Linked DNA regions of Ovis aries. The protein of the gene in region 3 binds, or shares a complex with, the protein of the main gene of each other region. Links are inferred from orthologs where the notes say so. Each region holds a gene or a part of one and is shown on either strand. Other genes may lie near its edges. The genes, in order: MBTD1, BRD1, MEAF6, BRD8, JADE2, EPC1 and KAT7.

The links.
Region 1: MEAF6 (region 3) and MBTD1 share a complex: the UniProt entries of both Homo sapiens proteins name them as parts of the nuA4 histone acetyltransferase complex. The link is inferred for Ovis aries from reciprocal best matches to the Homo sapiens genes MEAF6 and MBTD1.
Region 2: MEAF6 (region 3) and BRD1 share a complex: the UniProt entries of both Homo sapiens proteins name them as parts of the MOZ/MORF complex. The link is inferred for Ovis aries from reciprocal best matches to the Homo sapiens genes MEAF6 and BRD1.
Region 4: MEAF6 (region 3) and BRD8 share a complex: the UniProt entries of both Homo sapiens proteins name them as parts of the nuA4 histone acetyltransferase complex. The link is inferred for Ovis aries from reciprocal best matches to the Homo sapiens genes MEAF6 and BRD8.
Region 5: MEAF6 (region 3) and JADE2 share a complex: the UniProt entries of both Homo sapiens proteins name them as parts of the HBO1 complex. The link is inferred for Ovis aries from reciprocal best matches to the Homo sapiens genes MEAF6 and JADE2.
Region 6: MEAF6 (region 3) and EPC1 share a complex: the UniProt entries of both Homo sapiens proteins name them as parts of the nuA4 histone acetyltransferase complex. The link is inferred for Ovis aries from reciprocal best matches to the Homo sapiens genes MEAF6 and EPC1.
Region 7: MEAF6 (region 3) and KAT7 share a complex: the UniProt entries of both Homo sapiens proteins name them as parts of the HBO1 complex. The link is inferred for Ovis aries from reciprocal best matches to the Homo sapiens genes MEAF6 and KAT7.

The regions. Positions count from the first base shown.
Region 1 is NC_056064.1:35,303,084-35,307,235, reverse strand, and holds part of MBTD1 (MBT domain-containing protein 1), read right to left. Parts: intron 3,045-4,152; coding exon 2,897-3,044; intron 1,929-2,896; coding exon 1,846-1,928; intron 1,571-1,845; coding exon 1,336-1,570; intron 836-1,335; coding exon 758-835; intron 1-757. UniProt on the Homo sapiens protein: Chromatin reader component of the NuA4 histone acetyltransferase complex, a multiprotein complex involved in transcriptional activation of select genes principally by acetylation of nucleosomal histones H4 and H2A.
Region 2 is NC_056056.1:225,165,785-225,170,380, forward strand, and holds the start of BRD1 (bromodomain-containing protein 1), read right to left. Parts: upstream 2,983-4,596; 5' UTR 2,293-2,982; coding exon of another isoform or gene 2,286-2,292; 5' UTR 757-2,285; coding exon 1-756. UniProt on the Homo sapiens protein: Scaffold subunit of various histone acetyltransferase (HAT) complexes, such as the MOZ/MORF and HBO1 complexes, that acts as a regulator of hematopoiesis.
Region 3 is NC_056054.1:12,337,895-12,342,046, reverse strand, and holds part of MEAF6 (chromatin modification-related protein MEAF6), read left to right. Parts: intron 1-2,248; coding exon 2,249-2,336; intron 2,337-2,524; coding exon 2,525-2,570; intron 2,571-4,152.
Region 4 is NC_056058.1:47,270,228-47,274,990, forward strand, and holds the start of BRD8 (bromodomain-containing protein 8), read right to left. Parts: upstream 3,081-4,763; 5' UTR 3,072-3,080; coding exon 3,053-3,071; intron 1,880-3,052; coding exon 1,783-1,879; intron 1-1,782. Other genes in the region: kinesin-like protein KIF20A, read left to right, coding at 4,117-4,278. UniProt on the Homo sapiens protein: May act as a coactivator during transcriptional activation by hormone-activated nuclear receptors (NR). Isoform 2 stimulates transcriptional activation by AR/DHTR, ESR1/NR3A1, RXRA/NR2B1 and THRB/ERBA2.
Region 5 is NC_056058.1:43,744,264-43,747,846, forward strand, and holds part of JADE2 (E3 ubiquitin-protein ligase Jade-2), read left to right. Parts: intron 1-912; coding exon 913-1,721; 3' UTR 1,722-3,583. UniProt on the Homo sapiens protein: Scaffold subunit of some HBO1 complexes, which have a histone H4 acetyltransferase activity. Acts as an E3 ubiquitin-protein ligase mediating the ubiquitination and subsequent proteasomal degradation of target protein histone demethylase KDM1A.
Region 6 is NC_056066.1:32,590,455-32,594,606, forward strand, and holds part of EPC1 (enhancer of polycomb homolog 1), read left to right. Parts: intron 1-2,019; coding exon of another isoform or gene 2,020-2,036; exon of another isoform or gene 2,037-2,136; intron 2,137-2,778; coding exon 2,779-2,897; intron 2,898-2,976; coding exon 2,977-3,063; intron 3,064-4,041; coding exon 4,042-4,152. UniProt on the Homo sapiens protein: Component of the NuA4 histone acetyltransferase (HAT) complex, a multiprotein complex involved in transcriptional activation of select genes principally by acetylation of nucleosomal histones H4 and H2A.
Region 7 is NC_056064.1:36,556,249-36,560,400, reverse strand, and holds part of KAT7 (histone acetyltransferase KAT7), read left to right. Parts: intron 1-591; coding exon 592-702; intron 703-2,535; coding exon 2,536-2,727; intron 2,728-4,152. UniProt on the Homo sapiens protein: Catalytic subunit of histone acetyltransferase HBO1 complexes, which specifically mediate acetylation of histone H3 at 'Lys-14' (H3K14ac), thereby regulating various processes, such as gene transcription, protein ubiquitination, immune regulation, stem cell pluripotent and self-renewal maintenance and embryonic development.

The DNA.
Region 1 (4,152 bases), on a different chromosome or scaffold from region 3:
ACATGACTTCTTGCTCATCAGTTTCTGATAAACTGGAAATCATTTTAATCTGCCTGGTTGGGCCATGTTCTCTGGAGTTCTTTTAGGTAAATATCAACCATGGTAAGCAACCAGTAAGCAAAATAATTCTGGGTCTATGGGAGGCTTACATCTACAATATAAAAGAGGGTAAGAGATAGGTCTTGACGGTTATCACTACAGTGAGACCCATTTGGGTTTCACGTAGGGAAGAAACTAAGCACCACTGCAGTGGCTGCTCTAAGTCCCCAGTAAAAAAATGAAAAACAAAATAACTTTATCTTAGGATGAAATATTCCATGACAAGTTTCACAAAGAGAAAAAATCTATAGCTTTCTATGATGGAGGGGGAAAGATTTTAGAAAGAGTTTTTTGGTTTAGAAGGATAGGTTTTTTAGTCTCCAAGCCTATTGTAAGCACCAAACATCTGTTTTTATTTTTAATAAAAAATTTTTTAAAAAGGACTAATTTTCAGGTTTACCTATTACCTCAAAAATCATTCATAGACTCTACGCTTTACCATCTATTAAATATTATGGTAATACTTTCTCCTGTCAATCAAAGACAAGTGCTTCTGATTTTTAAAAAGTCTGCCTCTTATGGCATACTGCACCTTTAAGCATAATACAGAATGCAGAGTTATCAGCTCTCACAAGGGATCCCATTTCTGTGCAAGGATACCAAGACCCCAGTTGGTTAACAATTAGGAAACGTATACAAACACCATGTGGTGACCCACTTTTCTTATGTCCTTTGTATTGCTGGGACTTGGTCTTTTTCTTCTGTTTTGATGAACCTGACTGGCTTTCTCTTGATGCTGAAAAATAAAGAAGAAAATTGATATCAGATAATTTCTTACAACTCTCAATACAACTCAGATGAACTACCTTTACCAAGACAATGATGTTTATAAAAGTACACAATGCTTCGAAAATAAGGGTCATTGTTCCTGCAAAACCATGAACCTCAATACCAGACAGATTTCATTATTTATTCAATAAGCACTTCTTATATGTTAATAAATTTTAGTCTGTAACTTTAAACTCACTAAAGGAAGTCTAGTTTAATTCGGTGGATGTTCTTAATGTTGTGTTTCTATAGTCATTAAGCAACTGACTACTGAGTTCACACTGCCATGGCACACACGGTCTGATTCTGTGATATCATGGTTGAGTCTTATCACGTAAGATCTTACCTGGCAACCAATCAGACATAGGTATATTCTTGTCCTGTAAGCTCACAAGATGATTTATGTGAGACAGTCCTTGGAGAATTGCTGATTTTTGCAAAAGGACACCTTTTCTTATACCAACTTACACTGTGATGCTGGAGGCTGTAGTTGATATCCAGTTAACTGACACCACCCTACAGGATAGAGGTCAGGGGACTCACAGTCTACCCACTGATCATATTCTTCTTCCCATCCATCAAAATGTATCCTCAAGAGACGATGAATAATTCGAGTTACTGTGGCTACACATATTAATCGTGGCTCCATGAGATCCACTGCTTCTAATTTCATCCCGACACGAAATCCGTGATTTGGAACATCCTAACATGGAGAAGCAAAACATTAACACTGGTGAAAAGAATAATGTGTAACTCCATCATCACTAGGATAGAAAAAAAGAGAAGTAACATAACCAATTAACAATTTAGACCAAAAAAATCCTTTATTGAAACATATGAAGGTGAAGCATGTAAGAACTAGTTAGGAAATGCATTCATTCCTAATAATGAAACAAAATTTGGAAACAAATCTCAACTCCTATGTAAAGGAAATACCTACATTGTTTAACTAATATGTATGTGTTTATTTAAATTTACCTTATTAAACAGTTTTACTGGTGCTGCAATGGAGCCAGTTTCCCTGAGGTAGTCAAACCATTTAAAAGGAAGCTTTGTGTAACCTGGAAAACACAACTAGTTTAACTAGAAGTTCATTTAAAATTAGTGTAATATAAAAATGCAGATATAAAGTAATTCAGTACACATTACAATCTCATGAGCTAATGCTGTAGAGTACAATAATTCCTCCCTGTTACATGGCTCTTCCTGTTTTTATAGACAGAAACAGGTGCACTCAAGTATCCTATAAGAGCTAGACTTTTGCTTTTCAATCCTAGGCTTAGAATAGTCTAACATTTAATATTTTCCAGTAATATTTTTCTTTCTTTGTAAGAACAGTGGCTAGGCAAATACTGTTTTTACAGTCTTCTGTTTGGCTTTTCTCCTTCTTAAGAGAAAAATCCAAGGCTCAGATATTGAAATTAGGAAAGTCACTGGTTAAGCCATATGAACTATTTAAGGGTGTCATTTTTTTTTAAGTCATATGGTAATTTTAATTTTTTTTTTTGGTAATACCACCTGCCTTGTGAGACCTTAATTTCCTAACCAGGGATTGAACCCAGGGCCCTGACAGTGAAAGCTCCAAGTCCTAACAACTGGAATGCCAGGGAGCTTCCTCATACAGTAATCTAAAGATGAAAACTTGCTTTCTCTCAAAGGCTACAGTCCATTTTTTAAAAAAAGTTTATGTATGTGATAGCCCTTTGAGCCTACATCATCATCTTAACAGGGCTTGAGAATACCAATTCTTATTATAAAATGTACAAATGCTCAGGAAAATTCTCCACCAATTTATTAAAGCTAGTTAGGTTACAGGTCTTGATGTTTTCAGACACCCCACAGCTCTTGATACAAACATATACATATGTAACACACATATGTTTATACATACATATTATATTTTCAAACAGCAAATAATCTAGGGCTAAAAATAAAAAGAAATCTAGGGCTGTGGTAAACAGTGTAAATAGGTACTATGTAAAAAGAAAACAAGGATGAATACCCACTGTATATATTAGAAAAAAAGTACCTCTGGGTGGAGTGAGTTCAATCATGTTAATTTCACAGAAACCAACAGGGAAAATAGAAGGGGAGGTTGCATGATAACAGAACCAGTCAGATCCATCTGCTGCTTCTGAGCCATCGATCCCAATCATCAGGAATCCATCAGCCAGCACCTTTTAAATTAAGAGAATTCCAAGTATTTAAAATTAGGTACCACTATTATAGAAATGATCCTTTAAGTGACATTCTAAAAGAAAGCAAAGTCTATTACATAAAGATCTCGTGAAAGTGAGAAATGTTTACTGAACTCTCTTAAATAACTGAAATTATAATGAAAAACAAATCTGCATAAATTCTAGGGTGTGCCAGAAATAAAAGCGTGGTTACAGGGAAGTGATTTTAGAGGTCTAGGGAAAACATGCTCCTGACAAGGGCCAAGGCTGTTTTCTCCTGTGGCACGAAACAGGGCTGAGTGCTCTTTTACAGTTCAACCATCTAGTCTCGGCTAAGCTTTAAGTCTCATTCAGTAGGGACTCTACTTATACCCTTCTGACTTTCACATAGTGGAGTTTTCCTAAACGTTTCCCATCTTCCTCAAGCTCCGGCTTTACCTCTTTCATGCTCCGGATAACTGTGCTGCTCCATGACAGGAACTGCGTGAGGGACCTCACAGTCCATCCTTTGCGCATCAGACTGCTCTACGTAGTAGGGCTTCCTTTGCCTCTCAAGACAAACCTCTCCATGTCTCCCAATCCCCCTTACATTAGAAGTATTTTATTTTGAAACAGTTCACACTTAAAAAAAGGTATATACAACAAATTCCTAAATACTTTTCACCCAGAGACCCAATTCAAGTTATATCACTCAGTCATGTCCGACTTTTTGCGACTCCATGGACTGTAACCTGCCAGGCTCCTCTGTCCATGGGGATCCACCAGAGAAGAATACTGGATTGGGTTGCCATGGGCCCCTCCAGGGGATCTTCTCAACCCAGGGATCAAACCCAAGTCTCCCACATTGCAGGCAGATTCTTTACCATCTGAGCCACCAGGGAAGCCCAAGATTACTGGAGTGGGTAGCTTATCGCTTCTCCAGGGGAACTTCCTGACCCAGGAATTGAACCAGGGTTTCCTACATTGTAGGTGGATTCTTTACCAGCTGAGCTATCTGGGAAGAAATGATCTCCTAGTTTGTCAAATCCAGTGTCTTTTCCCCAACACTTCAGCCTCCTTTATAATATCCCATACCAGCTGACTTCTTAATTTTTTGAAACATTTATTC
Region 2 (4,596 bases), on a different chromosome or scaffold from region 3:
CTGACACTCGCCGTCCATGCAGACGCAGCACACCGCGTCCTCGTCAATCAGGCACTGCTGCTCCCCCTGCTTCTGCTTCTCGCAGTGCGAGGCCTTCTCGAAGCGGTCCATGAGGAACTCGAACACGCTCTGCGACACGGCCGACACGCAGTCGCCCCTGCGCTTCTCGTTGACGATCTCCAGCCAGGCGTAGTCCTCCTCGTCCATGTCGTACTCCACCTCGTTGTCCAGCTCCTCAGCTGACTTCTCCACGAACTTGTAGTACACGGGGGGCCGCCGCGGCGCCGACGGGGGGCTGTACTCCACCACCCGCACCTTGGGCTCAGGGAGGGCGCTGGCGGAGGCGGGCGCGCCGTGGGCGCCGGGCGGGGCGTCGCCTTTCTTCTTGACCCGGTTGTTCTTGTGCCGCTTAGTTCTCAAGCACACGGGCGGCCGCTCACTGTTCTCCTTGTTGCTGTTGCACTCGCTCATTTCCTGGGCGGTGAGGTCATCTTCCAGGATGATCTCCAGGGGGTCGAAGATGCTGATCCTGTGCAGGCGCCCCTCGATCTCGATCTCCACCATCCTCTGGGCTTGAGCGTAGGTCAGGGTCTCTCGTGTGGGGGAGTGCTTGGTGCTGCCGGGGGAGGAAGGGTGCCTCGCTGCAGCGCGATGACCTCGGCCTTTCCTCCTCATTTGGCACTGACTCCCTGAAACAGACAGACAACACGTGAGCGCCATGCAGAAGACAGGAGAGGTGAAAACCACCCAGCACATGTGCGCAGAGCGAACCAACTGGCACTAAATCCAAACACAACTCCCAGGTAACCTGCCCGAGGCTCCCAAAATCACTCATCCTGGACTCATGCAGGCACCTCAACAACCGCCACCAGCCACTGCCACCAGGCCACTGCCCCCCAAGGGCTCCCAGGACCAGAGCAGAAGGCAGGCAGTCAGGAGGGCCCCCAGAGGCACACACGGGGACAAGTCCCTCCAGAATGCCGACGCCCACAGCTCACTGGTCGGCTTGGATCCACACCCCTCGCGAGTTCGGGTCACAGTCCCGAGCCCAAGACAGTACATGCACAGAGCTGCACTCCTGCAGGCTCTGGCCACTGCCTGACCCCCGCTGCTGCTCAGGAGAGAGCCCTCAGCCCGCCACTGTCGCCACGAACGCACCCTGCACAGCCATGCTGAGGCACAGGCCACCGCCCGCGCCAGGACCCATGAGGGCAGCCCCATACTGGCCTGGGCAGGCTTCACCCCAGGAGACCCCACCCAGCCCCTGCAGGGCCTCGGAAGTGGCCACCGCATTCCAGCCACCTGCCTGCCCCTCAGGGACCCTCTCGCTGCTGGCTTGACCACAGTGCTGGGCCATCATCCTGTCACAGTGAGGGCAACCCAGAGACCCCCTCGCCATCCACAGAGTGCTCCTCCTCTCTACCGGGTGCAGCACAGGCTCAAGCGCCTAAAGCCTTGGCCATGGAGACTTTCGAGCACTTGCTCTTGTCAGACATCCGCCATCAGCCACCAGCAAGTTCTACTTCCAGTCTCCCTCTCCTGACGATCCCGGACTCTGGTCCAGCACCCGCCAAGCAGGGTAACACCTTAGGAACTGATGACAGTGCCCTCTCCCCACTCCAAACCACCACTCGCCACTGACAGGAAGCAGAGTGATGCTGACGAGACTGGCTGACACTCGTGCCCGGTGGAGCCCAAGGCCCCCCGCCGGACAAGGCCCTGGGGAGTCGGCCAGGAAAAGGCGCCACACAGCGGCCTGCGCTGTCACACCTGAAAGGAAATCGCAGCCGACCTGAGATGCATTCCTTGAGACAGAGCCTTCCGACTGTGGTTTTCCTTCTCTTTTGTGAAACAGAAATGTTTCTGTGAAATCTGACAAGAATGCCCTACAAAGGGGAGCCTGAGAGCCCGTGGGCAAACCAACCCTAACCCACCTGCATCTCCACATCCCAGGGGCCCACAGCCCTGCACTCCTGGGGTGCAGTCAGCCAAGCTGCCCCCCAACTGGCCCTGGCCCTGCCAGCCCTTCCGGGGGAGAGGAGCAAGTCCCCCTGCTGTCCACACCCCAGCCTGCAGGAGGGCCCCCCGTGCAGCCTCAGGGGTCCTTTGGGGTGGGGCAGAAGCCACAGCTGGTTACTCAGCAGAGGAAAGGCAAACGTGTAATTTTCTCCTCCAGAGCACAGTACCAACAGCACTAACCATAACCGGCTCTTCAAAACCCACATGCTCCTGAAGTGACCGAGACTTTGTATCTGGCCACTTGCTACAAGAAGGACAGCACTTACTGGTCATGGCAGCTCTGCAATCTGAAAGCTCGATGGTGACAGGGACAAGAAGGCGCTGGTCACTCTGCAAACCACCTCACCAGGCCACCATTCCCCTACACCCCAGGCTCCAAACCTCCAACCTCCGTCCAGCTGGAGCTTCCGTGCAGGACAAAGGTTCCCACGTGGACGCCATTCACAGACCCTCCAGACCCTTCTGATAAATGCCCCCTGAAAAGCCCTGTGGCCACAAGAGAGGAACGCGGCACCCAAGACCGGTTCAGCTTCCAACACCGCCTTTCCCGCCTGGCCCTAGGAAAGCCACGAACACCCTCGCGCAGGGGCGGCATGCAGCGCCGCCCCCGCGACCCTTCTCGGGCGGTGGGCGGCTCCTCCGGCGGGGCCCGCCTGTAGCGCGTGCCCCGTAAATTACAACCAGGTCACTTCTTCCTGGGGGCCCGGAGGCCGCCCGCCGCGGGCGCGGGAGGGGGCGGCCGCGCGGGTCCGCGCGGCCCTGGAACAGGAAGTTTGCCGTCCGGGCTCAACAAGCCCAGCGCGTCCGTTACATAACGCGACCCTCGGGCAAACGCTCGGCCGGGGAAGCCGAGACCCCGGGCCGCCCCCACCTCGCCGGGCGGGAGGCGCGGCGGGCAGGGCGGCCTCGGCACCTCCACAGCCCGGCCTCCCTCCCCGTCCAGCCTCCCGCCCGCCGGCCTCGCCTCCCTCCCTGTCGAGCTCCCACGCCGCCCGGCCTCCCTCCCCGGCCCCCCGGCCTCCCGGCCAGGCCCTGCAGCCTCCCGACCGGACCCCCCGGGCCTCCCCGTCGGCCGGCCTCCCTCCCTGCCGGCCGCTCAGCCTCTCAACCCGGCCCGCCCTCCCTCCCTGGCCTTGCAGCCTCCAGACCGGCCCCCCAGGCCTCCCCGCCTCGCCAGGCCGACCTCCCCGCCGGCCCCCCGGCCTCTCAACCCGGCCGGCCTCCCTCCCCGTCCAGCCTCCCGCCCGCCGGCCTCGCCTCCCTCCCTGCCGAGCTCCCACGCCGCCCGGCCTCCCTCCCCGGCCGCCCGGCCTCCCTCCCCGGCCCCCCGGCTTCCCGTCCGGGCCTCCGGGCCGCCCTCCCTCCCCGCCTCTCCAGGCCGGCCTCCCGCCCGCCGGCCCCGGCCGCCCCGCCGCCGCCGCCGCCCCCGCCCCGCGGCCTCCCCCGGCCCCGCCGCCCGCGGACAATGCGTCGCCGCGGCGGCCCCAAACATGGCGGCGGCCCCAGCACCGAGAGGCCGGCGGCGGCGGCGGCCCGCGGGCGAGGCGGCGGCCCCGGCCCGCCCGGCGCACTCACCTTCGGGGCCGCGGCCGCGGGAGCCGGGCGGCGGGCGCGGGGGCCGGCGCGGCCGAGGCGGCGCTAATGGCGCCCGCGGCTCCTCCGCCAACGGCCGCGCAGGCCCGGCCCGCCGCCGCTCTGGGCGCGGGCTCCTGGCGGCGGCGGCCCGGCCCGGCTCGGCGCGGCGGCCGCGGGCTCGCGGGCGGCGGCTCGCGCGGGCGGCGGGGCCGAGCGGAGGCCCGGCGCGGGAGCCCGGCCGGCGGGCGGCGGGCGGCGGCGGCGGCGGGGCGGCGGGGCGCTGGCGCGGGGCTGCTCGGACGCCAGGGCCGGCTCGCTCGCCCGCTCGCTCCCCAGCGAAGCAAACAATGCGGCGAGCGCTCCGCCCGGCGCGCTGCGTGCGAGACGCGCCCCGCCCGCCGCCGCCATGACGCGCGGCCGCCGCCGGGGGAGGGGACGGAGGGCAGGGCCGCGCGCCGGCGCTGGGGCCGGGGCGCCCGAGGGGCGCGGGCTTCGGGAGGGGGGCGCCGGGCGGGCGACGGGGGCCGCACACGGGCTGTGGGGGGCATCTGAGGGGCGCGGGCTTCAGGAGGGGGGCGCCGGGCGGGCGACGGGGCACCGCACACGGGCCGGGGGCATCTGAGGGGCGCGGGCTTCAGGAGGGGGGCGCCGGGCGGGCGATGGGGCACCGGACACGGGCCGGGGGCATCTGAGGGGCGCGGGCTTCAGGAGGGGGGCCGCACACGGGCCGGGGGCATCTGAGGGGCGCGGGCTTCAGGAGGGGGGCGCCGGGCGGGCGATGGGGCACCGGACACGGGCCGGGGGCACCTGAGGGGGCGCCGGGTGGGCAATGGGGACCGCACACGAGCCAGGGGCACCTGAGGGGGCACCGCACACGGGCTGGGGGCATCTGAGGGGGCGCCGGGCGGGCGACGGGGCACGGCACACGGGCTGCGGGGGGCATCTGAGGGGCGCGGGCTTCAGGAGGGGGGCGCCGGGCGGGCGCCGGGGGCCGCACACGGG
Region 3 (4,152 bases):
TTCTATCATTTTATCAAGTGGGTAGCTTCCTGTAACCACCACCGCAGTCAAGATATAGAACTGTTCTGTCACCACAAAGATCTGCCTCCTGCCACCCCTCTGTAGTTGTATCTCTCCTTTCTTCCATATATGTGTATTATACTTTCTGCTAAACCATTCAAAAGTTAAAAGCAGATCTTGGACACTTCGTCCCTAATTGTGTTAGCAGATACCTCCTAAGAATAAGAGCATCTTTCTTAACGTAACCACAATTATGCCTAGAAAATTAGCACTACATTAATAGTATTATCTAATATACAGTCTTTATTCATATTTCCCCTAATGGCCCCCAAAATGCATTGCTAGCTCATTTTCAACCAGGTAGTGTTTGTGCATTGCATTTGGCTGTTATGTGTCTTTAGTCTCTTAATTTAGGATCTTCCCAACCTTTTCATGGAGAAGGCAATGGCACCCCACTCCAGTCCTCATGCCTGGAAAGTCCCATGGATGGAGGAGCCTGGTGGGCTGCAGTCAGTGGGATCACTAAGAGTCGGACACGACTGAGCGACTCCACTTTCACTTTTCACTTTCATGCATTGGAGAAGGAAATGGCAACCCACTCCAGTGTTCTTGCCTGGTGAATCCCAGGGACGGGGAAGCCTGGTGGGCTGCCGTCTATGGGGTCGCAGAGTCGGACACGACTGAAGCGACTTAGCAGCAGCAGCAACATTTTCAGTGGTGAGCTTGTTTATGACATTATCTTGTAGAATGTACAAATTGTAGGTTTTTCTTGTTGTGACTTCATGAGGGATCCTTTAAATACTTTTGGCAAAAATGTTGCATTACTGATTATGTACCTCTTGTTTACCTCCCAGTTGTTTTCTCTTTTTTTGACTGCCCATGCCATGTCGGATCTTAGTTCCCTGACCAGGGATCGAACCTGTGCTCCTGCAGTGAAAGCATGCAGTTTTAACCACTGGATCACCAGGGAAGTCCTTGTTTGCCTTTCTGTTATCAGAAAGCTCAAAACGACAGATTGGCCCATTGTTGGTGCTGCTAAGTTTGATTATGTAATTTCACAATTGCAAAAGTTATTTTTTTCTCTTCATAATTGACAGTTAATTTCAGAGGTTATACTTTTTTAGAAGTGTGGATATGCTCCTCCCCCAGTTTGTGTCTCTGGGTTTAGTGTCCATTGTTGATTCTTACCTGAATCAGGTATTATAAAGGAGGTTGCAAAATGATGATTCTAATTTCACTGCTCCTTCTGCATTTGTTACTAGCATTCTGAAAGCAGAGTTGTCCCTTTTTATCTTCTTTCCCTTTCATTCTGTCTCCCTCTCTCTAGAATCCTTGTAGATGCATGGACTTAAAACCCAAAAACCCCCCAGTGTATTGGGGTCTAGTACTGTCACTTTTTTATGCTAAAAGTTTATTTTATTATTTAGTACAAATTCGTTTATTGAAATCTATACGAAGGAGTACATAAATCATGAATTTACAACCCACTGGCTTTTCACACCCCAACACACCCATCATTATTGTTTTTGATGCTCATTAGTCACTCAGTTGTGTTCAGCTCTGCGACTCTAGGGACTGTCACCCGCCAGGCTCCTCTGTCCACGGAATTCTCCAGGCAACAATACTAGAGTGGGTTGCCATTCCTTTCTCCAGGGGATCTTCCGGACCCAGGGATCGAACCCCGGTCTCCCACATTGCAGGTAGATTCTTTACCAGCTGAGCCACCAGGAAAGCCTCATTTGTCCCAAACATGGCCAGAGGGAGCCCCTCCAGCTGATCCTTTGATGTCACCCTGTGATCTGAGCACCTGGCTGTTTGCTGTCCTTTTGTGCTTTTCTTGTCCCAGGCCTGGCAGCAGTCATTTCTCTGAGGAGTCCTGGTTCTTTCGTTAAATCTTTTAAACTCAGGTTATTAAACAGAGATACTTCATAGCACTAGTCTGTGCTAGATGTTTTTAATAATAGACATTAAAATAAATACATATTTAATACATGAAAATGACTCTGAACCTAAAGCTAAAGTAATCCCATGTGTCACAGTGGATCACATACCATACATTGGAAAACACTGCTATGTATGTAGGCATTCAGCATGAATGTCATTTTGGTCAAGGCAAGTGGTGTGGAGGTGTTTCCGTAATGAACTTCATAATTAAAAAAAGACTTCCTTATATTTGTCCTGGGGCATCCTCAGCTTGAGCCATAGGAGTAGCTTGGTGCTTACAATGAGTTTCTTGTGTGTGTTTTAGAAACTCCAATAGCAAGAACGATAGAAGGAACCGGAAGTTTAAGGAAGCAGAGCGGCTCTTCAGTAAATCCTCAGTTACTTCAGCAGCTGTAAGTGAGGTGGGGGTGGGGGGCAGGATCTTTCTGTGGCCCATTGTTAAGGAAGCCCTCAGTTAAGTTTCTGTGAGTTTTCCCTTTCCCGTCTGTCTGTGAGTAGGGTGTCTCTTTCCTTTCTGTCTGTGAGTGCTCTCCTGAGACCTGTAATAATTTTTTTGGTAACTGGTAGTTTTGTCTTTTAGGCAGTGAGTGCTTTGGCAGGAGTTCAGGACCAGCTCATTGAAAAGAGTAAGTTTATTTATTTATTTATTTTTTAACTTCATCAATTTATATTTGAGCTACCATCACTCCTATATTTAACTTCTGTCCAACTGTGTATCTGAAGACTGCATATCTTTTTCTTGCCTCTTTCTGGAAGTTAGGAGCCCTTTTGGATATCCTTAATCATGTCTTTCTCTGGTGGAAGAAACTACCATGTCCTTCCTGCCTTTTCAGTCACATGAAGATTGACTTTAGCTGCTCAAAGACACAGAAATGTGTTTTCACTCCTGTTAAGTCTTAGGAAATTTTTTTTTAGTTAAAAATAACCCTTTTATCATGGAACATTTCAGACATATCTAATAAACCCCGTGTACCCAATTTGATCATTCTTAGGAAATTCTGATGCTATGACGGGAATGTACCTGTGTGTTCTTAAATTTAAAATGGAGAGCAGATTGTATTTACCTTGTAGAGAAATTGTATCATTCTGTGTACTTAAGCCATACAGTCTGACTCCTTTCTAACTTCTCGTAATGAGACTTAGAGCTTCAGGTTTGCCTTTCTGCATCAGACTCTAGGTAGACGGACTGGATGGTCTCCGTGCGGGTCGGGTCACTCTGAAGCTCACCCTGCGTTTTGCACTGTGGCTGGGTACTTTCCCATGGCATATCTTGTCGTGGGGTCCAGTTGTTTTGTTTGCATTAGGGCAGTGGTTTGAGGAAAATGGATTTTGGTAGTTTGGGAATTAGAACTACTCAGTGACTTCTGTTATTATCTCTGTATACAGATTTCTGAGTTTTTAGCCTCGTCTCTAACTCATTTCCCTGAGCTTTAGTCATGCATTTCTAGAAAATTCTAGAAAATGTCTTCTAGATATTTCCACTCAGTCAGACTCATTTTGTCTAAAACTGAGCTGTGCCGTTTTCTTCAAAGTGTGTCTGCCCAGTTATTTTGTTAGAGAACTCTATTCTCCCACCTTCAAAACTTGGTAGGTGGCTTTGACTCCTTTCTACCAACGTCATCAGTTGGACTAAGTCCTTTTTTTTTCCCCCTTTACTATGATTGTCAGAATGGTTTACTTTGCCTTTCACTCTTTTTTCCTTGGTACAAAATCTCTCCCTTGTCCCCACATTTTTGTATAACACATTCTATGGAATGACCCCTGTGTTCTTGATCTTTGGTCAATGGAGGAAACAACCTTTTCTCTTAGAATTTGTACTTTTATGTCTTCATATCTCAAGGATTTTGGAGTTTTATATTTTGGGCATTTATTTTTAAACTGTTTTGAAAATTTTCCTCGAACATGCATTGCTTTTGTTTCTTTTGCCTTCTTATGTACCTGCACTAGGAAGAGAATGGATTAGCATAGTCCCAAAGGGGAATTGTATGCTAATTAGTGAAGCATTGTATATTTTTGTTAAAAGAGTAAAGTAAGAAAATAATGAAAAACAAAACAGGCAGATTTTATCCAGTTCTCCTGTAAAAGGATCAGCAGTCTCCCCTTTCTGTTTTACTGGGCTTCTCTGAAGCTTTCATCACAGCAAACCCCTCCGGCATCCACATCATTGCGCAGGTAAGTGATGCTTGAGTGTGGTTCTCCGTGTCTTCC
Region 4 (4,763 bases), on a different chromosome or scaffold from region 3:
TTTTGAACTTTATATCTTAAGAACCTCCTCAAAACATAAACACAATTCAAAATTTCAAACTTTTACTTAAATGTTCTTAAACTAAAGAAAACTGTAATAAAATATACATATTGGATTCTATTTCAATCCAGTTTACTTGATATTAATATTTTGTATAAAAATGAATTCAGTTTATAGTTGAGTTATATTTAAGCTCAATCTGAGATTCGGCAAATAACCATGCTTTGTTTTGTCAGTGTTTACCAGCTCAAGAATAGCTGCTACCTAGAGTATTCTGGTTTTCTCTTTGAAAAGTTATTTGAAAAATACATAGAATTGTAGAAGTGTTACATGTGATCAGTAATGGTGCTTTCATAAACTCATTTGAATGGTTAAAGTAGTAGAGATAAACCCTACAAATGCAAATTTGTTTATTAAGTAATTTTAACACTTAAGACAACTAAAAGGTAACTTTAGATACGGAGAGAAAAAAAAAAGTCGGGGGCGGGGAGACCAAATGTTAAAAATGAGACTATGTCCTGGTAGAAAAAAAGATTGGAAAACACACACAGTCCTACTTTCTGGTACTTAAAAGAAACACAAATTAAAACCACAATACAATACCATTTCACACTCAGCAGTATAGCTATAATCAAAAAGACTAAATGTTTGCCAAGCATGCAGAAAAACTGGGTCCCTCATTTATTGCTGGTGGGAATGTAAAACGGTGAGGCCACTTTTTAGTTTGAAAGCAGTTCCTCAAAAAGATAAATATGAGTTATAATATGATCCATTGAGAGTCCCTTGGACTGAAAGGAAATCAAACCAGTCCACCCTAAAGGAAATCAGTCCTGAATATTCACTGGAAGGACTGATGTTGAAACTGAAACTCCAATATTTTGGCCACCTGATTTGAAGAGCTGACTCATTTGAAAAGACCTGATGCTGGGAAAGATTGAAGGCGGGAGAAGGGGACAACAGAGGATGAGATGGTTGGATGGTATCACCAACTCAATGGACATGAGTCTGAGTAAACTCCAGGAATTGGTAATGGACAGGGAAGCCTGGCGTGCTGCAGTCCATGGGGTAGCAGAGTTGGACACGACTGAGTGACTGAACTCAACTATGATCCAGCAATTCCACTCTTTCAAGAGAAATGAAAACATGCCTGCACAAAAGCTTGTACACAAATGTTCACAGCGGCATTAATATTCAGCAAAGTAAAAACCACTCAAATGTTCATCAACAAATGAACAAAATGTGGTAAACCCATACAAGGAACTACAATTTCATCAAAACAAAGAATAAAGTACTGATGCATACTCCAGCATGAACCCTGAAAGCATTATGCTAAGCCCCAGAGTACCACAAAGTATATGATTCCATCTATATGAAATGATCAGAATAAGCTATAGAGAGACAGAAAGTAGATGAGTGTTTGGTGAGGGAGGCGGAAATATTAGAGAGGCGAAGAGATTTGCAGAGTGATTCCTTAAGGGTAAGAGGTTTCTTTCAAGTGTATTTAAAATGTAAAATTAGACTCTAGCATTGGTCCTATGTAAATTATGTGAATTTAATAAATTAAATATTAATAAGTTTTAATAATTTTAATAAATTAAGTTAAATCCTGTGAATATACTGGGAATTCTGTGAATATAATTTTGTGATATGTAATTGCATCTCAAGAAGGCTGTTAACTACTGCTTAAACGTTAACTACTGGAATCCACCGGTACTTACATGAAGGGGAAAAAAAAAAAACGGTTTCTAATACCCAAGGAAGCAGATATCCTAAATACCTTACCAATTTTGATCTCCACTCCTCATGACAGAAGACGCTAAACACAGCTTCTCTCGGATGGACCATGGCTCTGTAGGGCCAGTACTCAGCAGCTTATGTTCTGAAAGATTTAGAGACAACCACTGAGGCACTAAGTCCCAAAGGGAGGATTAAAAGTCTAATACAAAAATGTCCTAACCTGTAAGGACAAAGTGAGCCACTATCACCAAATCTTGATTTTCACCTCTCTAGTAAACACCACCACTAGGATGGTGCCTATTCATTGCTTGAGAACTGCACTTGATTATCTGGCAAAACATTTTTCTGTAAATGCCATGGTTACTCTACCATATTTAAAAAAAAAAAAGTCAAGTTAATTTAGGGCAGTTCTTCCAAAAAACCCAGTTTTAAGAATGCTTTATTCCAGGAACTTCCCTGGTGGTCCAGTGGTTAAGTCTGTGCCTTTTCCCTAGAGGGGACGTGGGTCCCATGATCCTGCCAACCACCAACCTCCCAGCTCTGCCCTGGCCAAAAAAAAAAGAATGCTTTATTCCAAAGTGGACCCCAGGCCTTATTTCCCAGGATTCCGAGCGGCCAACCCCCGCTACTGCCCCGCCTCCTTCTTAGCATAAACTTGTTTACTTCTCTCAGTTACACCCATTCCCCTCAAGCTGTTAGGCCTACAAGACCTTCTCAGTCCCTGAAACAGAGGGAAATGGCTGAGATACAGGAAATGTATTTTTTCCCTAGTGGCAGAAAAAGCTCACGATTAACATGTCCCATCTCTCTGTGAGTACAGGCCTCACAAATGTTCGTCAGAAAATGACTCTTTGGGACCCCGGCCACTCCATATGGCTCACAGCATCTCTGTCCGCACGCCGGAGCCTCTAAGGCACCTTTTTTCCCTCTCACCCCGCAGAGCTGACAAACATACAAGAATTTTCTTAGGCTGCTTTTCTCAAAGCTCCGTGGCCTTGCACACCACAACTAGAGAGGAGCACTCCTCGCGGCAACTAGAGAACAGTCCACGGAAAGCGACGAAGACCCAGCGCAGCCAATAAATAAAAATTCTAAAAGCAAAAAAACTCCGCGGCCTTACTTAAGTGTAAGACTTCACGCTTCTGGGCCCTCAACCCCCAACCGCTGGCCTTAACAGCGCCGCTCGAGCCCAAGTCTCTGATGGCTCTGGGCTCTCAGGTGAATCACTGCTTCTACTCCCTAAGAGTGTGACAGATCTGTTGCCTGGCCTTGGTTCTACAAACACCTTCCACGCAAGAGCAAGGCAGATACTTACTGCCCGTTCCCGTCGCCATCTTGGCCCCGACGTCTCCAACCCCCGAAGGAAGATTTCTGGCCGAATTGAAGCCCAAGGAATTCTGGGAGATAGCGTTCCAGCGTTTATTCGCGGTGCGTCCTGGGAAATGTAGTCCCCTCTCCCCACCCTAGGATGAACCAGCGCCCCAAATCAGGTATTCTTGTGAGTTCCTGAGAAGGAATGTGCGAAAGAACAGAGAATGGTGGCTGAAGCCTTAGGATTTCCTTCAGGCTTCTTAGAAAAGAAATGCCTAGGGTTCAAGAAAAACTGATAAACAGAAGTTCCAGTTGACCCAGCTCCAAAATCCAACAGTTGGTAACCCGTCCCACATTTGAGCAGAGAGGTCAAGCCTAAGAAAACCGTTTCCGGGTTTCGCCCGCCCCCTTGCACTGATTGGTAGGTGCAAGGTTCGCTATCTGATTGGCCGAACGAACTCAGCGCGCAATTTAAAACATTGTATCAGAAACAAAGGTGCGCTTCGTGGGTGGGGTTGTCCTCTCAAGCTGCCGAAAGCCCAGTTTCGGCTGTGGGGTGTGAGTGAGCCGGTCCCGTAGAAGTGTGGCGTCTTTAGGTAAGTGTGCGGCTGAACTTGAGTCAAGTTGGGGCACCTTTGCTCTGGCGGATTAGGCATTCAGAAAGCGGAACTGCCGCCATTTCTGTTTTTCTTAATAATTCTGTCCTCACCGTGGGCCTAGAAGCGAGGTATAGAGAATGAGCCTAGGGCTTCTGACACGGCTGAGGGAGGCTCCCTACTTGGAACTTGGCCTTATGTTTTCGGAGTTAGATATCTGTTCATTCCTGTTCGCGGTCCGAAATGCTGCCTCAGATTGGATTAAATGATTAACTCTTTCTCTCTTTCCCGTTTGCTGGTAGTCGAAAGGAGAAGGGAGTAGGAATTCAGGCAGCGAGACTAGGTTGCCCTGGGGCAAGGGAATTGTTTCTTACCTAGAAAAGAGGGCGAATTCTTCAGCCCCTTTTATCCCTTAAGGTTCTCCTCCCTACCCACTCTTGTCTCTTTTTAGACCTAAACTGCCCCTGCTGCCATGTCGCAAGGGATCCTTTCTCCACCAGCTGGCTTGCTGTCCGATGAGGAGGTCGTAGTCTCCCCCATGTTTGAGTCCACAGCTGCAGATTTGGGATCTGTTATACGCAAGGACCTGCTGTCAGACTGCTCTGTCATCTCCACCTCCCTGGAAGACAAGCAGGTAAAGGAGTTGAAGAGTGGCTTGGGGACTGAAAGTGATATAATCAGCCTACTAGCTGTCCATACAGAGAAGCATGAGGTAAAAAAACCCAGCAATTCTAGAGTTTGACAGGTCAACTCAAAATTAAGAGCATGATAAGTAAAAAATGTACAGTTGTGTGTCCATAAGAAAGCTATTAATTGCGTTGCATTAATGAAACTGAACGCTTACTCTCAATTTATCCTATGAGGAAAGGCAGTCCTTGTCTCTCCTTCACCATGAGGCCCAGACATTTTAGTTACTTTGCACAAGGTCATATCACCATTAAGTAGGTGAAATGTACATTCAGGTTTTAATATCAACCGTACCTTCCATTTAAGGAAACTAACTTTCTGCTGAGCTGTTTCTCAGGTGCAGCATTATGGATGTTTGGAGCCAGATAATTCTTTGTTATGGGGGCTATCCTGTGCAATTTAAGATGTTAAGCAGCATTCCTGGCCTCTACC
Region 5 (3,583 bases), on a different chromosome or scaffold from region 3:
GGGAGCCACCAGAGACCCCCCCAGGAGTGGTCTTTGCCCAGCCCATCTCACTGTCACAGCTGTCTGTCACACACCTCTTGACTGCTGCCCCATTAAGCCTGGTGTCCCTAGAGGGGCTCCTGGACATGGGCTTTGTCTCCCAGGATATCACATGCTTTCTCCAGAACACTCCTCAGGGAAGGGGCGTGCTCTAGAGGAGCACCTCACCACTAGCATGGAAGCCCCACCTCGTCTCTAGCAAGGAAGCCCCAGGTCACCTCTAGCATGGAAGCCCCACCTCACCTCTAGCACCGAAGCCCCAGGTCATCTTTTATTTGCCTCAGTCTCAGGAAGGATTCAGCTTGGTATCTAATGGGAACATCAGCGGCCGCCTCCCAAAACCTCAGTAAAGGAAGGAGAGCCCATAACTGGAGCTGGCCCTGACAGACACCCTTATCCAAGTCCTTGCTTTGGAAGCTGTGGAAAGCGACACTTATGAAAACCCAGCGCCCCCTGGTGGCCAGAGGGCTCCTTATCCCTTATGCTCCCAGGATGATGCTGTGTGGGGTGGTGAGCAGGGCTGGGTGTGCTCCTGTGCAGTCACCAAGGGCCCTCGCTTGGTTTAATGCTCTACTGTAGCCACTTTGAAATTCTTAATAATTTTTGAATAGGGAGCCCACATTTTCACTTTGTACTCTGCTCCTCAAACAATGAAGACAGTCCGCAGGAGCAGGACACCTATCTGGGGAGAAGGGTGTTCCGTGTTTGCAGGTGGGATGGACAGAGCAGGTTAACTCGGCCGGGTCTAGCATAGAGGGAGAGAGGGAGGAAGGTCCGCGATGTGTGCAGGGCAGGGTGGGAGAGGGCTTCTGGAAGGACGGTGGCTCACACACCTGCTGGCATCTCACCTGCCTCTTTCCTCCCCTTGGCCAGGCCTGTCTACCTCGTTCCCCATCGACGGCACCTTCTTCAACAGCTGGCTGGCGCAGTCAGTGCAGATCACCGCAGAGAACATGGCCATGAGTGAGTGGTCGCTCAACAATGGGCACCGCGAAGACCCCGCCCCGGGGTTGCTGTCCGAGGAGCTGTTGCAGGATGAGGAGACACTGCTGAGCTTCATGCGGGACCCCTCGCTGCGACCTGGCGACCCTGCCAGGAAGGCCCGTGGCCGCACCCGCCTGCCTGCTAAGAAGAAACCACCACAGGATGGGCCCGGTTCACGGACGACTCCAGACAAACCCCCCAAGAAGCCCTGGGGCCAGGATACTGGCAGCAGCAAAGGGGGTCAGGGGCCGCCTGCCAGGAAGCCACCACGGCGAACACCTTCTCACCTGCCGTCCAGTCCTACAGCTGGGGACTGTCCCATCCCAGCAGCTCCCGAGAGCCCCCCCCCACTGGCCCCCGAGACCCCGGAGGAGGCAGCCCCAATGGCTGCCGACTCTAATGTCCAAGTGCCTGGCCCTACAGCAAGTCCCAAGCCCTCAGGCCGGCTCCGGCTGCCCCGTGAGAGCAAGGGAAACCGGAGGTCGCCAGGTGCCAGGCCTGATGCCGGGACGGGACCGCCTTCTGCTGTGGCCGAGAGGCCAAAGGTCAGCCTACACTTTGACACTGAGACTGATGGCTACTTCTCTGATGGGGAGATGAGCGACTCAGATGTGGAGGCTGAGGACAGTGGGGTGCAGCGGGGTCCCCGGGAAGCAGGGGCTGAGGAGGTGGTCCGCATGGGGGTACTGGCCTCCTAAGTCACCCCTTCCCCTGTCCTGGTCCCCCCATGAGGCCTCAGCCCAGTGACAACTGCCATTTCCAATCTCCGCTGAGTGTCTCAGACCCTTGAGGCTGCCACTCTGATGTGGTTTTATTTTTAATATAAAAAGTTTCGAATTCCACACTATTGTCTTTCCTCTGTGCTGGCCTAGGATGTTAGGATTCCTTCCACAGCTCTGGCCACAAGGACCAGCCCTGGTCTGTTCACCATCACGGCCATGGCAGCGTCCCCGCCCGGGCCACACAGTACTGCTGGGCTCCTGGCTACATGTAGGCAAGGTGATGAAGAGCTCAGGACTCCCGCCCGCTGCCACTGGGTGACACAGACTGTCGTTTGGGCATTATTATGGCAGATGGGCCAGCCCAGGGCCTGCCCCGCCTTGCTCCCAAATCCCACTGGGGTCAATCGGGGGGCGGGGGGGTCCTGCTGCACTTCACTGATCCCCAAGGAAGTATAATAAGTGATACCCAGCCAGAGTCTACTCACTGTCACAAGCACAATGAGCTTATACGAGAAAGCACTGAGGGGGCGAAGAGGGCCTGCTGGTTCCAAGGGAACCACAGCTGTTCCTGGTCAACCCACATCATCTGAGGCCTGCCCACCCACCCTGCGACCCTCCACTCCCCTGCTGCTCTGCCCCTGCCAGCGCCCAGCTCGGCGGCTCTGGGGAGGGTTTCCCAGAGCCCTTCCTGAGCTGTGCCATTTTCTCAGGGGACTCCCAGCTAGCCAGCCGCCAGTGCCGGCGGAGGGCTGCGAGGGAGGGCCAGTGCCCGGTCAGGGGCGTGGGGCTCAGCCTCACCCACTACAGAGAATCGCTCTGGGACTCCAACTTCCTTCTTTCCTTCCTTCGGGGCCAGTCTCGGCTGAGGTCTGATCACTCCCAGACAGCTGACCAGACCAGACCGTTTGCCTTTTCAAGTTTCCTGCTAAGTGATGAGCTTCTTCCTTGGTTTCCTTTTGGAAACAACTCCTTCCAACAAGCAGTGGGATCCCGGGGCCCAGGATGGGTTAGTGATGGCCTTCCGGGGCTGTGTGAAGTCTTGCTGGATCTTCCTGGTTCCTCTTCCCCTCTGAGCCTTAACCCCCTTCCCCAACTGTGCCCTTCCAGCCCCTCCCTCCCCACCGTCACCATCCTGCCTTCTCCGCTCCACCCTCTAAGTCCCAGGTAGTAGCTCTGAAGAGTTTCAGTGGAGTGGCCCCAGGGTGATAGCTCAGGGAACAAATGAAAAACAAAAAGGAATTCAGTGAAAACATTTTTTTTTTTCTTTTATGACTTACTCCTGGGTCACTTCTGCCACTGGTAAAGCCAGAACTTCTCCAACAAGAACCTTGCAAAAGTCCAGTGAATCAGTCGAATCATTCTGTGGATGCCAAAGAATATTTTGACCATAATACAGCACAGCCAGGACCTGACAACTTGTCACTTGGACTTTTTTTAAAAATGGAGTTCTTTAGCAACCAAGTGTAGAAACATGTTCGTTGCACACACCCAAGGAGGTGAGCCCAAGCTCTCGGACAAGGATGCTGTTCTGCTGCTGCTGGTGTTGGATTTTGGATCCTGGGCCCACTGTGAGCTCTCCTGAACCCTAAAACTCTGCACGAGGAGACTGACGGTGAAACCAGCGTGGCAAAAGTCTCACCATGGGGATCCCCCTCACATAACACAAAGCGCAAATCAGTGGGATAGGGAGCAGGCTGAGCACCCATCCCCGACTCAAGACTTTCAAGGTACGGCAGTGGCATGGTCATGGACACTGAGTTTCATGTGAGTTTTATCAAAACAGGAAACAAAGATAATGACTAAGTTTAAAGGGCTGGACAGATGTGTCCAGTCGGAGC
Region 6 (4,152 bases), on a different chromosome or scaffold from region 3:
ACTCATCCATACATCCTTTTGGATTGGAATTGTTATTTTTCAGAAGAAATCTAAAACCCTTTAGCATGTTATGTCTTGAAAAGGACTTTAATGATCACCTGATTCAGTACTTGTATATTTTAGATAAATATACTGAGGTCCAGAAGATTAAGTAATTTCCTTAGGTATACTCAGCTAATTATGATAAAGCTGAGAATGAAAGGAAAATCAGTATCTCTTGGCCCCTAGACCCATGTTTTTTACTACCATCACTTCTGGTGTATATGATACTGTGCATTTCTTCTAGAACATTTATCAGAAATGTCCAGGGAAATTTTTATAACTAGACTCTGGAGTTTAGAGATATGTAAGAAATAGGCTAACATAGGGATCTAAAATCACAGTGAGTGTTAGTGATCTAAAGTGTTGGTCGCATTTTTTTTTTTAATTTCTAGATCTGCATTAGGAAGTTAACAGTTGTTTAAAAAATGAAATTCACAAAACCCTCAGAGACTGAGGACTGAAATGTTGACTTAAATAGGGTAAAATATTTGGAACCTTTATTGAAATCGATTTATAACTTAATATTGCTAATTTTAAGTCACAAACACCAGCAAAGTTCTGCAAAAGAATATTTTCATTCATATAAATGGAGTTCTGAACACAGATCTATTCTAGTGAATGCTAAATTATTGTTTTTTAGGTGTGTAATGATGTAACCTTCCAGTAATGGGGTTTTTTGTTGTTGTTGTTGTTGTTGTTTTTTCAAGTTTATTAAGCATCTCCTACCAGGAAATTCAAGATTTAGGCAACTCACTCAAGCTTAGGAAATTAAAGTAGATGATGCAAAAACATATTAGCAATACTTAAATTGTCTTTTTGGCATTAAGCAGTTTCTTTTTATGAAATTTTTTAAGCATAAAGATAAATATTATGTTAATTGTAATCTGTTTCAAGACAGCCTTATTTAAAAAAAATTTTTTTTAAGTTCTGATTTAACTTATTTCTGTTATATGGAAATGGTCATTTTGACAGAAACTTGCTTTTATGAAACTATTTATGGATTATCCTTTTAGCAATAAAAAAATGTATTTATCAATAAAAAAGAATTTTTCCTGCAGAGTTCAGAGCTGAGGATTACCAACATAGTAGGAAAAAAACAGGGCTTCCCTGGTGGCTCAGTTGTGAAGAATCCACCTGCCAATCAGGCGATAATGGGTTCAGTCTCTGGGCCAGGAAGATCCCCTGAAGAAGGAAATGGCAACCCATTCCAGTATTCTTGCCTGGGAAATCCTGTGGACACAGGAGCCTGGGGACACAGTCCATGGGGTCGCAAAAGAATCGAGCATGACTGACTAAATAACAAGAAGAATCTCATCACAGGACATATATCAACTAAACAGATGTGTAACACCAAAAATAGGAAAATAAATGGTAGAGTTTTTCCAACAAATGATTTTTTGCCTTTGTAACCCAGGAAATTAGTTCAGCTCAAGTATGAAAGTCTGTGTAAGTACTGCAACTTCAGAGGTTTTCTGAAATATTATGTCACAGTTTTCTGACTTGTTTAAAATATGGTAGAATTTCTACCTAACTTCTAGCTAAGTATTTTCTAGTTGTCCTAGGCAGAAACTCTGCCCCAGAAGATAAAGATTCTCATGAGTTATAAGGGAAAATTGCAAAACTTGATGATGTAATATTCTAAATAAATTATCAAAACATCTTTAAAGATGACAAATTAGTTGACAGTATTTTGAAGACATTAAACCTTAGATTGAGGGAATATGCATGGTTTATAGATTCCCTAGTGACTGAGGATGCATGCTAACCCTTTTTTTTCTGTTCTGAAATAATTCTTACCCAAACACCACAGGCTTCTTAAAGAAGCCTTAAAGTCAGATGTTGTGATTGTATGTACGTTTTTTTCTTTTTTTTTTTTTAATTGGCAAAAAAAAAAAAGAAAAAGGTTTTCCTTTTTAAAAACTGCACACACTTTTTGGGGGGGTAATAAATGAACATTTTTTTGTTTGTTTTTTTTAGAACTGAGCTCTCCATAGACAAACATAAGTAGCATAACACAGTGTCTTTCCTCAGACATCATTCTGTACAGTAAGCCAACATAAACAACTCCGTTCTTATTGACTGGATTTTTTCCAGGTGGGTTAATTGGGTGGGGAAAATTAATTAACCTTTGGAGCCTCTTTTCTTCCTGTTAAACTTAAAGGATGGGTTCTTTTTTTAAAAAAAAAAAAAAAAGGTAATAAACCAACAACCTTATATTTCATATGGAGGAAATATTTGTAATGACTAAAATTCAGAACTATGTAGAACAGCTAGTATTTCTGCACAGAACTGCTGGAGATCATCTGAATGGATTAGGACAGTAGTATGAATAAATAAAGACACCAGATGGTAATTATTGTATCTCTTCTTAAGCTCAGTGCAAAGCTGAATTTCCAACATGCGGTTGAAAAAAGCTGGTATTACCTTTTACACTGTCTGGCACAAGTGTCACAGCTTACCAAAAAAATAATGGTTTCAAAGCTTGGGAAGTGAGCACTTCTCTTTGGTATGTGCAACTCAAAGTTTCACTTTATTTCTCTTTAAACTCAAGCCACTCTTGTCAAGCGTGGTTATAAAAAATGCTGAAATTCTCATTCAGAAGTGATCTTTAACAGGATGCTCAAATGCTTTCATTTTGCGCAAATTTTTTTAAATGCTTAAATGTGTTTTCGTATATTGTAAGTTGCATGTGATAGCTGTGCGTTTCTATAAAGTGTTCTCTCGTTTTATGTTCAGCATTTACAGCCGAACAATACCAGCAACATCAACAGCAGCTGGCACTCATGCAGAAACAGCAGCTTGCACAAATTCAGCAACAGCAAGCAAGTAGTAATTCCGCCACCACCATGCCACAGGTGAGGGATTTGTCTGTCTTATGATTATCCCTCATGTTTCCCACCAGAGTTCATCTCTAATTACCAACTGTTGTCATAGAGCCTTGCATCTAACCAGCAGAAAAGTGGCTTTCGCCTGAATCTACATCATAGCCACTCTATACAGGGTTTAGAAAGAACATTACAGGTGAGTATAGAAGCTGTCACCCTCTGCTTCCTATTGTAAAAAAGTAAAACCTAAAAGCGCAAATGAGATGGAGACCCTGTCCTCAAGCCTGATCTTGTAGTCTGTGAATGTACCTCTTTAACTTACAGCCCCACCCAGCTCATTATCTGGAGAACTTTTAATTCTTCTTAAAATGTATTAAAAATTATGCTAAAATAACTTCTTTTACTCTTAAAAGAAATCACTTTTGAACCTAAAGCATGATAAATATTGGCCATTTAAGCACATTTATAGAACTTAACGGAAGGCTGAGATTTGTGTCTCTAGACATCTGAGAGGAAAATATCATTTAAAAAATTCAAGGGGCCTCTTAATCTCTAGGCTGAGTTAGGATGCGATTGATGTTTTGTTCCTCTGTTCTAAAGGGGTAGTCACCTTACTGTCCCTTGGCTGCCTTAGGTTGTGTATGTATGTGTGTAAGTTTGGTGAAGGGAGTTTTGCCTACTCACCCATTCATTATATGAATTTATTCATGCAGTGATTCATTGCAAATCACCAAAATGTTTTACTAGCATGTTTCTTGTTTAACACTTTGTGTTGGAGGTTTACCATTTCCACATTTTAAAGGTTTATTTTGGTAATTTCATATTATATATTGTCACATAAGATCAAAATCCATAATCCTTGGGACTTCCCTGACAGTCCAGTGGTTAAGACTCCACCTTCCAATGCAGGGAGTGTTGGTTCAATCCCTGGGAACTAAGGTCCAAAATCCGATGTACAGCAAAAAAGAATTTATTTTTTAACGTTATAATCCTCGGGTTACAAGATGACCTCAACATTAATCAGATTTATGACTGTCAAGAAGAAATGAAGATACTTCAGTGGTTTGCCACTTTCGTTTGTATGCGGACTGATTTTGGCATATAGCTGTGTAGCTTAATAGTCGTTGGAAACTAAGTGGTGCTGATTAGCTCTGCTCTGTGTTTTCCTTTGTAGGGTTTTGTGTCCAAGACTTTGGATTCTGCTAGTGCTCAGTTTGCTGCTTCTGCTTTGGTGACATCGGAACAACTGATGGGATTCAAGATGAAGGAGGATGTGGTGCTTGGA
Region 7 (4,152 bases), on a different chromosome or scaffold from region 3:
ATGCACATTTTCAGAGGAAGAAATGGAAGCATAAAATTCTGAAGAATGAAACTCTCTTTTGGGGTGGTGGTTAGGACATTTCCTTTCCAGGTTCACTAGAGTGGATAGTAGGTATCTTCTGGAATTAACCTGTCTGATAAATAGTTTGTTTTGTACTTGATCCCTAGTGCCTAGTATAATGCCTGGCAAATATTAATAGCAGGTACTAAATAAATAAGTATGGTTATTCTTGGCCTTCTGGTTGGCATCCGTTGAAAGGCAATAGGTTAAGTAAGGCAATGGCACTCCACTCCAGCACTCTTGCCTGGAGAATCCCATGGACGGAGGAGCCTGGTGGGCCACAGTCCATGGGGTCGCTAGGAGTCAGACACGACTGAGTGACTTCACTTTCACTTTTCACTTTCATGCATTGGAGAAGGAAATGGCAACCCACTCCACTGTTCTTGCCTGGAGAATCCTAGGGATGGGGGAGCCTGGTGGGCTGCCGTCTATGGAGTCGCACAGAGTCAGACATGACTGAAGTGACTTAGCAGTAGCAGCAGCAGCAAGTTCTTAGAAGCAGAAAGTATCATGCTCCGGTTATTTTCCTAGGAACACAGGCAGACCTATGGGAACACTCGGGAACCTCTCCTGGAAAACCTGACGAGCGAGTATGACTTGGATCTTTTCCGAAGAGCACAAGCCCGTGCTTCAGAGGATCTGGTGAGTATTGAAACTTCCAAGATGAGGACTACTTGTGAGGGTCACTTGGAACTGCCAAGGAAAATTAGCAGTCAGTTTGCTAGGGATTAAACATACCTTGCTGCTTGACCCTTTTTCCCTTCCCCCGGACATCCTTATTTGAGACTTCCTTCCCATTGATATTTAAAATTAATTACCCCTCCTCCCTTCCTTTGTCCCTTAAAGTTTTCCCTCTCCACCTCAACTCCTGGAAGGACCTGTTTGGTAGAGGTAGTTATCTGGATAGAACAGTGGGTGCCCCTTTGTGTCAGTTGGATAATTTGTAATTCTGAGAACCCCTAGACTGGAAGGTACCCCTCTGTTGTCCTCTTAACCTAAATAGGAACTCCCCTTTGTGGGATTGCTTCAGCCTTTCATTGTAGCTATAAAAGAATGGGAGAGGAATAATGATCAAGGTTGTTGTCAGATAGTTTAGCTAATTTAGAATCTGACAACTATGTTGTCAGATAGTTTAGAATTCTGATTGAATGAATTAAATATGTCCAAATGGCAGTCCACTCCAGCACTCTTGCCTGGAAAATCTCATGGACGGAGGAGCCTGATAGGCTACAGTCCATGGGGTCGCAAAGAGTCGGACACGACTGAGCGACTTCACTTCAAAGAAACTTAAAGTTTGTAAAGTGAATTTCATCTTCCTTTTTTTTAAAAAAATTTATAATCAAATACTTTATTTAAGAATTCTTGATGATATAGTGGTCCATGGGCTGGTTGGAAAAGAATTTCCAGACATGAGGCAGGATGAGAGGAGAACAGAGTTTCTTAGAGTGGGAGATGTTATTAGAACAGCAGACTGGCTCAAGGGAGAGCTGACCCCTTTCTTGGGCTAGTTGCCAATTTTTATAGCCTCAAGGCAGAGAAAATTCCAGCTGGAAGGGTAACATTAAGTGACTGGTTAGAAGTTTCAGGGTGGGGTATTTTACCTAATGGAGGGTAAAGGACCTGGCTGATTTAGATCTAGAAGCTCATGGCAACAGTTGTTACTGACCTTGGTTAATTACAGAAATTTTTGTCCTGTGACCTTGGTATAAGGCTCCATAGAGGAGACTTGTTGAAATTTTGGGAGAGGCAGGGTTTGATTGCTGCCCTTATTTAGGCTGGGCTACCACTGCCAGTTTTCTCTATCTTACCCTGGTACTGAACATTTCCTAGGCCAGCTTTTCAGAGCTCTGCCTGATTATTCTTCAGAATTATTTCTGTGACTAACTCATAGCCACTGAGTGGGGACAGGTATTCAAAAATATCTTCTACTTTCTAGCTTTAAATTCCAGAATTAAAGCATCATCCGTGTTTCAAAAGTGTTTTTTAAAGGACCCAAGTTGAGAGCATGGCCAGCATGGGTGCATGTCATGCAGATCCATACAGCTTTCTTTATAAAAGCTTTTGCACACGTATGAAGTGCATTCTCGAGAAGCTTTTGTTTAGGTTTAGAATGTTTGTTAAGGTGTAGGGAGTTTGTGATAGATGGTCTTTTAAAATTCTGTTTATTTCAGACTGATAAAAAGTAAAATTTTACGAAGGGCTTGTTCTGATGTTCAAGAGATTAGGCCCAAGTGGGTAGGTAGCAGAGAAAAGCCACTCTCAAGACCTGTGCTCTGGGCAGTGTAGACAGTACATTTTCTCTAGCCTTCCTGGTGACCCATGCCCCCATAGTCCTCTTCAGTGTAAGTTACTCATGAGCTAGAAGCCAGAAACTATTTTTTTCATAGCCGGTTGTGGTGGCATGCACGCAGCTTACAACAATAGAAATGATTAATTCTTATCCTCCTTTAACTTGATTTCTTCTCTGCAACACAGGAGAAGTTAAGGCTGCAAGGCCAAATCACAGAGGGGAGCAACATGATTAAAACAATTGCTTTTGGTCGCTATGAGCTTGATACTTGGTACCATTCTCCCTATCCTGAAGAATATGCACGACTGGGACGTCTTTACATGTGTGAATTCTGTTTAAAATACATGAAGAGCCAAACAATACTCCGCCGACACATGGTAAGTTGTCTGAAGGTCCATGACCATGGTGATGATAAGCTCTAGGGTGTCTTGATTGTTGTTTTCCAGTTGCTCAGTCATGTCCAATGCTTTGCCACCCCATGGACAGTAGCACTTCAGGTTTGCCTCAAAGCTTCCCTTTTGCTCAAGCTCAAGTCCATTGAGTTGGTGGTGCCATCCAACCATCGCATGCTCTGTTGTCCGCTTCTCCTCCTGTCTTCAATCTTTCCCAGCATCAGAGTCTTTTCCAGTGAGTTGGCTCTTCACATCAGGTGGCCAAAGTATTGGAGCCTCCGCTTCAGCATCAGTCCTTCCAGTGAATATTCGGGACTGATTTCTTGTAGGATTGATTGATCTCCTTGCTGTCCAAGGGATTCTCAAGAGTCTTCTCCAGCACCACAGTTCAAGAGCTCAAATTCTTCGGCGCTTAGCCTTTTTTATTGTCCAGCTCTCACATCTGTACATGACTACTGGAAAAGCCATAGCTTTGACTAGACAGAACCAGTCTGTTGTTCCGTGTCTGGTCTAACTGTTGTTTCTTGATCTGCATACAGATTTCTCAGAAGGCGTAAGGTAAGGTGGTCTGGTATTCTCATCTCTTTAAGAATTTTCCAGTTTGTTGTGATCTACACAGTCAAAGGCTTTAGTGTAGTCAATGATGCAGAAGTAGATGTTTTTCTGGAATTCTCTTGCTTTTTCTATGATTCGATGGATGTTGGCAGTTTGATCTCTGCTTCCTCAGCCTTTTCTAAATCCAGTTTGTATAAATCTGGAAGTTCTCAATTCACATACTGTTGAAGCCTAACTTGAAGGATTTTGAGCATTACTTTACTAGTATGTGAAATGAGTGCAATTGTGCGATAGTTTGCACATTCTCTGGCCTTGCCTTTCTTTGGGATTGGAATGAAAACTGACATTTTCCAGTCCTGTGGCTAGTGCTGAGTTTTCCAAATTTGCAGACATATTGAGTGCAGCACTTTAACAGCATCATCATTTAGGATTTGAAATAGCTCAGCTGGAGTTCTGTTACCTCCACTACTTCCTGACTCCAGGATGTCTGGCTCCAGGTGAGTGATCACACCATTGTTGCTATCTGGGTCATTAAGATCTTTTTAGTATAGTTCTGTTTACTCTTGCCATCTCTTCTTGATATCTTCTTCTGTTAGGTCCATACTGTTTCTGTCCTTTTTTTATGCCCATCTTTGCATGAAATACTCCCTTGGTATCTCTAATTTTAAAGAGATCTCTAAGCTGTCCCATTCTGTTGTTTTCCTTTATTTCTTGGCAGTGATTACTTGAGGAAGGCTTTCTTATCTCTCCTTGCTATTTTCTGGAACTCTGCATTCAGATGGATGTATCTTTCCTTTTCTCCTTTGCCTTTCTCTTCTCTTCTTTTCTCAGGTATTTGTAAGCCCTTCTCAGACA